Linked DNA regions of Rattus norvegicus. The protein of the gene in region 1 binds, or shares a complex with, the protein of each later gene. Links are inferred from orthologs where the notes say so. Each region holds a gene or a part of one and is shown in the gene's direction. Other genes may lie near its edges.

The links. The genes of interacting proteins can lie anywhere in the genome.
Region 2: the proteins of Tuba1a (region 1) and Cfap276 are in contact, whole or in part, in a cryo-EM structure (PDB 7UNG), measured with the Homo sapiens proteins. The link is inferred for Rattus norvegicus from reciprocal best matches to the Homo sapiens genes TUBA1A and CFAP276. Residues at the interface, in NP_001257328.1 of Homo sapiens: Lys112, Glu113, Ile115, Asp116, Leu117, Leu119, Asp120, Arg123, Lys124, Asp127, Arg156, Ser158, Val159, Asp160, Gly162, Lys163, Leu195, Glu196, His197, Ser198, Asp199, Tyr262, Pro263, Arg264, Trp346, Lys430, Asp431, Glu434, Val435, Val437; in NP_001231954.1 of Homo sapiens: Pro43, Trp44, Arg46, Leu47, Asn48, Thr50, Pro51, Thr52, Ile53, Thr54, Ser55, Arg57, Arg58, Ala60, Tyr62, Asp64, Ile67, Pro68, Lys69, Asp70, Asp71, Phe74, Arg75, Lys90, Ser91, Leu94, Leu95, Asn96, Lys98, Thr99.

Annotation. Positions count from the first base shown.
Region 1 is NC_086025.1:131,992,604-131,997,789, reverse strand, and holds the start of Tuba1a (tubulin alpha-1A chain), read left to right. Parts: upstream 1-1,970; 5' UTR 1,971-2,036; coding exon 2,037-2,039; intron 2,040-3,793; coding exon 3,794-4,016; intron 4,017-4,147; coding exon 4,148-4,296; intron 4,297-4,461; coding exon 4,462-5,186. UniProt on the Homo sapiens protein: Tubulin is the major constituent of microtubules, a cylinder consisting of laterally associated linear protofilaments composed of alpha- and beta-tubulin heterodimers.
Region 2 is NC_086020.1:198,852,509-198,857,616, forward strand, and holds the start of Cfap276 (cilia- and flagella-associated protein 276), read left to right. Parts: upstream 1-1,620; 5' UTR 1,621-1,723; intron 1,724-3,767; coding exon of another isoform or gene 3,768-3,920; exon of another isoform or gene 3,921-3,989; intron 3,990-4,209; exon of another isoform or gene 4,210-4,741; 5' UTR 4,742-5,051; coding exon 5,052-5,108. Other genes in the region: Elapor1 (endosome-lysosome associated apoptosis and autophagy regulator 1 isoform 1 precursor), read right to left, coding at 3,768-3,920. UniProt on the Homo sapiens protein: Microtubule inner protein (MIP) part of the dynein-decorated doublet microtubules (DMTs) in cilia axoneme, which is required for motile cilia beating. May play an important role for the maintenance of myelin-axon integrity.

The DNA of each region.
Region 1 (5,186 bases):
CGGGTGTGGGCTTCTCTGAGGGAACGCTGACAGCACTTAGGTCTTACTGTTAATGTACTTACATGTTAGAAGCAGTGAAGTCATCTCTATTCTTCTGTTATGAAATAATGAGGATATGGGGGTTGTTTCCCTATGAAATATACAAGAAGTAAATTATTTGCCTGTATGTGGGATATGTTGATTTGTTTTTCCCTAGAAAAGACTTTCAGGATAAATTTAAACAAAAAAGGCAGAGCCGTGGGCGGCAGGCTAGAAGAACTCATGGCCACCATTGTTAGCACAACCTGCAGCTGCTACATTCCCAAGGCCCTCGATCCCACACCAGCCGGAATGAATGGACTCCACAGGGCTCAGCAACAGTGTCGCAGATTACCAAGTCCCTGCTACTGAAGGGGAAGCCATCTGTCAAAATCCACATTTTCAGCTTGGTGCCCAAACAAATAATCTCTTTTCCTCTAAAATTTCATCCTGCAAATTACCAGTGGTCTGCAGCTCGGAGACTCTCTATATAGATCTTCCTTGCCGACAACGGAGCCTTTCTACATAGCAAAAGAGTGCCACTGTAATCTATCTCCTAGGGGTGAAAGCAAGGCATTTTTGTCCCAAGGGGCAATTGAGCAACGACCACAGTAGCAGTGGGGCGAGCCTCTACAGTTCCCACAGTCAGAAAGAAGCCCAGCTGCGGAAAGGGGCTATTTACGGAATTCAGGGAACTACACAAAACTGCACAGGGCTGGCACTGCACAGTTGTCTGGGGATGAAAACAACATCGCAAAAATGGTTTCCTTTTTATATTATAATACTCTCCTCTTTTTAATTTGGCATCTCAGCTATTTTTTACTTGGTATCACCCCCTCCCCCTCAAAAAAAAGGAGCGCTGGAGAAATACAAGCCCACACAAAGAGCTCGTTTTTAAACTCACTCCTTTCTCCTTACAGTTTCTGAATTCCGTATTAGAAGGGATGGCTCATTTCTAGGGACAAAATAACACAGGCTCTGGGGTGAGGTAGGGTCGGGTAAGGGGGCGAGCGGGGAGGGGTGATGGGAGAGCACTACCGCTAAAGAAAGCAAGCTCTCTAGTAAAGCGTTAAGTACTACTTTGTATATTGTTTCTCTTTTTTCCTTTCTCTCTCTCTCTCTCTTTGTTTGTTTTTGGTTTTTGAGACAGGATATCACACTATATATCCAGGCCGGGTACAAAATAACCGCAGTCCTCCGCTTCCCAATGCTGGGATTTACAGGCATAAACCACTAAGGGCGGTTATGATGACCTTGAGCTGCAAGTCTTCCTGCCTCTGCCTCCCAGGTGCTGTTGAGGGTCATAGGCGTGGTCTATTCATACTGAGCTTCTGAATTTTGCTCAAATATTAATAATAATAGTAATAATAATAATAACCACAATAATACAACTGTAAAACTAAACATTTACCCACGCCTTTTTGACCATCATTCCCATAGCTCTTGCTACTTTATTTAAAGCGAACAGAGATGTTGAATCCTGACGGAACGTATTTAAATTTAGTGTAGTATAAATGAAAAGCTGGAATTTACCATAAAGAATCTCAACACAAATTCTGTGATTAAGTGTTGGGGAAAACCTTAAATTATCCTAACTACAGTTTAAGGTTTAAGCTCCGTATAATCACCCAACCCCCGTTTTCTTTCTTCCCTCTCTACCCCTCCCCAGCTCCACCCCATAATGGATGCTCGGCTAGTTGCTTTTGCGAGGCCTTTGTCTGAAGGATGCAAAATCTACGGATGCTAGCGAGGGGGGGAAGGGGGGAGAGATTACCTCATACCATGTCGCTTGCACCAATCACCACTCTCCTGTCGCGGCTTCTCTGGGCAGACGGAGGGGTCTGGACCAACAGGAAAAGGCCTTGGCCCATCCCCATGGTGACCGAGCTGTATATAAGGAGGCGCATCCGCCCAAGTGCCGCAGGTTCTCTTACATCGACCGCTTAAGAGTCGCGCTGTAAGAAGCAACACCTCCTCCTCGCCTCCGCCATCCACCCGGCAGCCGCGAAGCAGCAACCATGGTGAGCAAACCTTCCCGGGCTCTCAGGAGCGGGTGGGTGTCAGCCGGCTCAGTCTGCAAGGAGACGCCTAAGCCTTTTGTCATCTCTGCGGGGAAGGGTGGTCTGGATGCTTTAAGTTTAGCTTAGTCCGTGAGTCCCGCCGCCGCAGTGCGGGACACGGAAACGCCCAGACCGGGAAGAACAAAGGCTGCGCCGGCGAGCGATTGCTGGCAGAGCCCGGGACCACAGGGGACCGGCGGGGGAGAGGGAGGGTGCCGCAGGGTCTGCTGCAGCAGGAGGGCAGGGCGGCGGCCGAGCCCGCACTCCAGAAACGCCGCCCTAACTCGCTGGGAAAATAGTTTGCCTGGGATCCATGGCAGCCGCTGTCAGGGAGGCGCAGGGGCGGGGTTGTTTGTCTCTTGCTTCCGTGGCGTTTTGGGAGGGGTTCGCTCTCACTAAGCCTCACTCCCGAGCTGGGTTTTTTATTATTATTATTATTAATTTTTATTTTTAAAAAGAATCGTTGGGGAATTGTAGTCTTACGAGATGCTCCACGGGGCCATCTCGCTGGGTGGGGGGAGGGGAGCTGGATGGTTGGGAATGACAAAGCCCACTTTGTGAAGCCCGAGTAGCTGACGGTCAGAACCCAGGGAAACGCCCTTCCCCGCCCCCAACCCCCGCAGACAATGAAAGTTGTCCCTCCAAGGCAGAAGTGTCTCTCTCTATAGAATAGTGGTTTATTATGTTGTATGTAGAGATTCATCGGATAAAAATACTATTTTCTACTTTTAAATATTAGTTATCTTTTCACTTGTTTTTTTTTTAATTGTTGGCACTAATTGTGTGCACTGTGTTTCTAACTTAGCCTGCTTTAAGAATGTTTCCGTCCCATCCAATAGAAAACCTTCAAAAACCATAATGATTCTGCTGCAAAGAAAAAAAAAATGATACTCTGCACCCGACTGCCTTTTGTTCTAATATATGACACTCATTCATTAATTCAGGCAGATGGCCCCAGGCAGGGTTGGGAGGCACGCAGAAAGCTGCACAAAGAGATCACGTAGACAGCTTCTGGAAATAGAGCTTTCTCTGTTAAATAATGTAACAGACCACAGGCTAGAGCCAGGCACAGAGAACGCGGCAATGCAGAAGTCAGACTCAATAGCAGGTAACCTAGCCTAGTACTGACCGGGCCCACAGAAGGGTGTGGCTGCTGGCCTCAGCCGCACTGCAGATGTCCACATTGAAATACCAGGTCCTATAGGATGAAACCTTAAACTTTGTGAGACTCGGTCTAGCTTGCAGCTTAGCCAGAGTACTAATGGGGTCCACAGAAGGGTGTGGCTGCTGGCCTCAGCCGCACTGCAGATGTCCACGTTGAAATACCAGGTCCTGTAGGATGAAACCTTCATCCTTACTTAACAAGAAAAGAAGCAATTAATGTAATTTCGGGTAATTATTTCATTTTACAGAATCTATGTTTTGAATATTTTTCAAATATGAAGACTTCTATTCAAACACTGCTATGGGAACAATGGGTTGGCACCATGTCTTAAGCAGTACTAAGGTGACATTGAGGCCACACCCACTTTCAGTATTGGTAGTGGGTACTCCTTCCTCATTGTGTCTGTCATATTAGGGATATGACACTAAATAAATTTAAACAATGTTTGTATTTTTAGAAACACTTTAGAAATCTATTAAAATCTAAAATAGAAGTACAGCTTAATATTACAACAACTTAATTTTATGATATTTTTTCCCCCTTTCCACAGCGTGAGTGTATCTCCATCCACGTCGGCCAGGCTGGTGTCCAGATCGGCAATGCCTGCTGGGAGCTCTACTGCCTGGAACATGGCATCCAGCCTGATGGCCAGATGCCAAGCGACAAGACCATTGGGGGAGGAGATGACTCCTTCAACACCTTCTTCAGTGAGACAGGAGCTGGCAAGCACGTGCCCCGGGCGGTGTTCGTAGACCTGGAACCCACAGTTATTGGTAAGTGGACTGGGGGCTTCCCTGGGGCAGTCCTTCTTGGTCACATACTCAGAATGTCTCTCCAGACCCGGAAGGGTGAGTGAGCTTGTGGGGTCCTTGGTGGTGATGGCTGATGTCTTCTCCTTTTTCAGATGAAGTTCGCACTGGCACCTACCGCCAGCTCTTCCACCCAGAGCAGCTCATCACAGGCAAGGAAGATGCTGCCAATAACTATGCCCGTGGCCACTACACCATTGGCAAGGAGATCATTGACCTTGTCTTGGACAGAATTCGCAAGCTGGTAAATGCCCTATGTGGATGGGTTTAAAATGCAGTGGGAGGGTGTCTTGGTATCTGTCAAAATGTGTCAGGTCTTTCCTATCAGGTAGAGATGGCTCACAGTCTAAAGGAATTGAAATAGTGTATGCCCTGGTAATAAGACATTATATGTCCTTTTCTCCCACAGGCTGACCAGTGCACGGGTCTCCAGGGCTTCTTGGTTTTCCACAGCTTTGGTGGGGGAACTGGCTCTGGGTTCACCTCCCTGCTGATGGAGCGGCTCTCTGTCGACTACGGAAAGAAGTCCAAGCTGGAGTTCTCCATTTACCCAGCCCCCCAGGTTTCCACTGCTGTGGTTGAGCCCTACAATTCCATCCTCACCACCCACACCACCCTGGAGCACTCTGATTGTGCCTTCATGGTAGACAATGAGGCCATCTATGACATCTGTCGTAGAAACCTCGACATTGAGCGCCCAACCTACACTAACTTAAACAGGTTGATAGGTCAAATTGTGTCTTCCATCACTGCTTCCCTCAGATTTGATGGGGCCCTGAATGTTGATCTGACAGAATTCCAGACCAACCTGGTGCCCTACCCTCGCATCCACTTCCCTCTGGCCACTTATGCCCCTGTCATCTCTGCTGAGAAAGCCTACCATGAACAGCTTTCTGTAGCAGAGATCACCAATGCCTGCTTTGAGCCAGCCAACCAGATGGTGAAATGTGACCCTCGCCATGGTAAATACATGGCTTGCTGCCTGCTGTACCGTGGTGATGTGGTCCCCAAAGATGTCAATGCTGCCATTGCCACCATCAAGACCAAGCGTACCATCCAGTTTGTGGACTGGTGCCCCACTGGCTTCAAGGTTGGCATTAATTACCAGCCTCCCACTGTGGTCCCTGGTGGCGA
Region 2 (5,108 bases), on another chromosome or scaffold:
CCTCAGACTCCTCCCTCTATCTAGAAAGCATCCTGCTTCCCTGTCTGCACAATCATTACTACCCAGGCAGGTCAAGTAGCCCGGTTCTGGTTACTTTCTCTCTCTCTCTCTCTCTCTCTCTCTCTCTCTCTCTCTCTCTCTCTGTCTCTCTCTCTTTCTTTCTTTTCTTTCTTTTCTTTTTTCTCTCGCCTGCCTCACCACTGCAGCCCCGCTGACCACACACATTAACCTTAGGTCAAAGTTTATATGTTCTTATGTGTGTGTATGATTAGTTTGCCCACCAGTGTTTCTTAAACACCATACAATGGGAGTATGTACTAGGTACTTGACTGTGCTATCTAATTTAATTCAATCCTCACAACAGCCCTTCCAGATAGACATGACTCCCTCCATTTTATAGGATAGGAATCTGAGGCTGTCAGAAGTTAATAATCTTGATTCCTTACTAAATGGCAGAGTCATCACTCACTCAACAAATCTTATTCCGCTTCCTAGGCCCCCCTGGGCTTTTCAGTATGGATTGGGAAGTCCCTCTGGGGGCTATTAGAACAACAGCCTCAGGACCAGGCAGAGCATGTCAGAGGCAGTTTTCTCGTTGCACTATGTTTAAAGAAATGTTTGGGTCGCAGCCGGCACTTAGCCTGGGCCAGCACAGCGCTAAAGGAGTGATTCATGTGGACAAACATCGTCCAGGATGTTTAGATCCAGTGGTGACCCTGATTATTGTAAAACTGAGACAGGAGTGCCAGGCCCTGGCACACGTCCAGCTGTCTCCTCTCCCTGTGCACTGCCACCGCAATAAAACCTGTGGCCAAGTCACCCTTCTTCCTGCCTTGCTCCGGTTGGAGCTCTCAGCTTTTATAAATAAATAGTCCATGATAGCAATGCTTTCGCTTGGGTCAGCCTTGGATTGATAAGAGGCCCCGGCATTAATACCCTATAGGCTCCTCAGAAATCCATAAGAAAAAAGAGAAGAGACTGGGAAGACACAGTCTCCCTCGAACTAGATTTTCACCTTTTGGGGTTAGAAACCCCCAAACTCGTTGGATCCGTTCACAGTGCTCAGTGAAGAACTTGCAACAATGGACTCATTCTCTTCCTGATTATTTTGGAGTCAAGGGTGTTCAGAAGTTGTTTGCTCAAGGAGAGTGTAAACAGAGCTTGCTGGTGCCCCAGGCCAAGAGCATGCCTCCAAAGCTATTTCAACATGGCAAGAGGTGGGGGGTCTAGTTAAAGAAGCTGAACCAAGAAGTAGGGGTGAAGTATTTTGTATTTGAGGTCCATTTTTATCTACCATCTTCAAGACAGTCATCCCTGGGGTTGGTGTTAGCAGGACACCCATTTCACAGCTCCCCAAAGAGTGGAGTGTTCCCTTCCCACTGCCTCTGGCTCACTTACTCCTAAGCAAATATGGGTTGTTTAAACAGGTCTAAAGACAAAATATTCGCACAATGTAAAACTCTTACGTTAATATTCTTCCCTTCCTCTCAACCAAGATGGTGTAAGTGTCCAAGGCCTTCAAGGTCTCATCTGTCACAGTGGACAAAGACCTAATGATCAGTGGCAGTTGTATGGTAGAATTCTTATCTTCTACAAAGGAAATGGCAGTGTTTAACTCTTAAGCAAGGCAATTAGACCACAGGCCACCAAGGCCAGTGAACCAACATTACTGGGAAGCCATCCTGTTCTTGGTTATCTTTAAACTCCATCATGAAGTGGCTTGGTAAAAGTGTACACAGCCGGGGTATCATTGGGACTAGTAAACGTTCTCAAAGGCCCTCTGACTCGGGCCATTTTCAAGGGATCGCTGTTTTGTTCTCCTGTGAGTGTGTTCTTGACATGGGTATGAATATGGGTAAACACATCCCACAGCATGCACGTGAAGGTCAGAGATGACTGTGGAGCCTGCCTCTCACTACGGACCTGTGAATGATCTTGGATTTCTGTCCCTGCTGTCCCTACCTCCCAAGTGCCAGAGATTACAGACATGTGTCTCGACATCTGGTTTATTCGGTATTGGAGAATCAAACCCGGGGCCTCACACATGCTAGGCCAGCACTTATCAACTATGCAAAAGGTGAGAGATTTGAAAACAAAAGTCTAGCACTTTAGGAGGAACGCCAACTGTCAAACGTTAAGGTGGCAAGAGGTTAAAATAGTCCCCGTAGCTAGGTCCCAGTCATGGGGTGACTTCATTTTAAAAAAAAAATATTTTTTTATCTTATGTATATGAATGCTTGCCTGCATGCATGTATGTGTACCACATGCAGGCAGTGCCCTCAGAGGCCAAGACTGAGTGTCAAATCCCCTGACACTGGAATTACAGATGGCTGTGAGCAGCCATATGGGATCTGAGAACTGGATTCAGGTTCTCTACAAAGGCAGCAAGTTCTCTTAACCTCTGAGCCAGAGCCATTTTTTTTCTTCCTTTGTGGAACATGCTATGTCCTAGAACTCGATTGGTAGTTTAGGCGGGCCTCGAACTCACAGTGATCCACCTGCCTCTGCCTCCCAAGTGCTAGGATTAAAGGCATGCACCACCAAGTCTGGTACCCATGGGCCACTCAAATATTAATGAATCTTTTAGGCAAACATTATTTATATAAAAATCCCACTTGCTTCTTTTGGGATTTGCTATGTTATAGTCAGGCTAGTGGTTAGGACCCTACATAATAACACTTGTATTTATGGGACTGCACTGGCATTGTCAATTAACATTGGTGATTTACAGGGACTAATTTAACCCCTCAAAACCTTGGCTGGGCTTGATATTTAGCATCCCTCCTACAGCGCTAGACTTCTGACGTATTTTCAAATCTCTCACATTCTGCATAGATAAATTTTATTCTGCCTTCCCCAATAGAGTTTTTTGTAAATATTTCAACGTAGCTTCTACCATATGTTTTTTAAGTCACTTAGAGCACAAACCAAACATTGTTATTTCACTAATACAGAAACTAATTTTGCTATTCCTAAGGTCTTGTCATAGGCCCCCAAAAAACAATTTTCCAAAAGCATTTTGTTGTTGTTGTTAGAAGGCATTCACTACCTACTGCGCGAATTATGTTGATAACATTTTAGAGACACCTTGAAAAAGACTTATGGCATATGTTAAGAGAAGTTCAAAGGAGAGAGTGGGAGAAATATGTTAAAGAATTCAAAATCAAGAAAAGGTGTGTCATATGCTAAACACTAAATGAAGTGTGCAAGAGGACAGGCAAAGCGTTCCAACAGGGTCACAGCCAGCAGCTGTGGGCTACTGATGTTACCACAGAGGGCACTTATTAGGATCCTAAGGTCGATATCCCGAGCTTCCCATCCTCAGACTCCAGGGCTTCTGACCCCAGTCTACTACTGGTCCCTAACTTTACTTTTATCCCAGTCCCCTCCTTTCCTCTTTCTGTTTAGCTTCTCAGTGTTTTCAACCACTTTTTAGGTAACCCATCTGGAAAGCAACTCCTGTCTTCTTTCTCTTTCTGAGAACTGTCACTCTTTCGGACCTTACTCCTGGAGCCAGAGCTGCTGAAAGCTTGTGAGGGTAGTCTATTTTAGGAGTCCTCCAATGGGCTGGCCTCACCCATGACGATGCCAGCCTGCTTCCCTCCCCCCAACCCCTACTTATTCCTAGAAAAAAAATTGAACTCTGTGGTCCCTGAAACTGTGACTGGATCTACAAGGTCTGTATTCTGGATCTAAGCTCTTTTTTTTTTTTTTCTTTTTTTGGTGACCAAAGTGAGATCAGGTCAAGGGGGTGGAGTGGACAGTACCTCTTTGCAGGCGTGAAGCTCGGGTCCGGTTCCCAGGGTCACCTGGAAGGTGGTCCCAGCCCAAAGCAACAGCCACAGAAGCCGGGATGTGCGCCTTTCAGTTCTTCCGCCTTCTCTGGCAGAAGGTTGGGGGTTGTGACCAGGCTCAGCCATAGCGCTGTCCTGAGCCAGCGGCAGTAGCGGCTCAGGTGCTGCGGTAGCTGCTTATGCTGGCAGAAGGAGGAAAAAAAAAAAAAAGAAAAAGAGGAGGGAGGTACACAGAGGAGGATGCAAGGGGCTGGACTCGCTTCAGTCACCTCCCTGCGGCTACGCCAAGGCCGCCCATCCCTCCTCCCTCGGTCCTCTCCTCCTCCTATCCATGTCGCCTTGACAACCGCATCCTCTTCGCTCAGCGCGGGTGGGGCAAGGACCACGCGCGCCTGTGCCGCTCACCTGCCGGTCTCCATGGCAGCCGCCACCGCTGGCGCGCGGCATGGGAGTGCACGCGCCAGGGTTTGCAAGTAACCGAATAGGCTTACGTTACGTAAAGCACGCAGTAGAAGAACCTTCAAAACATCTGCAGCGGCTCATTTCGCACCTATTACTCTTCCGGGCCGGGAGGCTATTTCTAAGCTTCTCTTATTTTGTAAACATGGCTTATAAAACGATTGGGGGAAGACAGAGGTCTTCGTCATCTTCCAGGGATCGTCTCCTAGAGTGGCCCCAGCAGTAACTGCAAAATTTAGTTCCATCCTTCCACCCCGCCAAGTCCATTCACGTTTTTACAGCCGTCTCGGTGAGCAACCCTGACGTCTGCATAGTTAAACAGCGAGGGTGACCTAATCGACAATTTTCCAACTAGGACACGTGAGATCTTTGATTTTTTTTTTTTTTGACATTCTCTTACTCTCATTGATTTGAAAATGGGGAAGCTTTCTTTTAAGTGAAGGCGAGAAGGAAACCTTTGGGTCATCTTTTAGTACTTCTTTCGTTAGCTTTTGCAGAAATCCCACGCCGTGGGAAGCCAGCGTTTTCCAACTGAGGCTCCAGATTGCGTATCCAGGTCGCCTTCCCTCTGCATTCACAGCAGTCTCCTCCCATTCTTGGAGACTTCTGTCTTCTTATTGAACCGCCAGGTGGCGCATCTCTCCAAGGGAATACATCTGTCATAACTGGAGGGGCAGTTGCCTAGCAACTAAAAACTGGGCGTTCCAAACAATTGAGACCTGGGATCCTCTTCAAGCCGGGTCGCCCTGTGGCGCACTGGTCTCCAGGGAGTAAGCGTGCACCCCTGGGCCTTTAAGCATGCCTCACTCTCAGGAATCTTACCCGAACCCTGCCGTAGGCGACAAAGACACACAT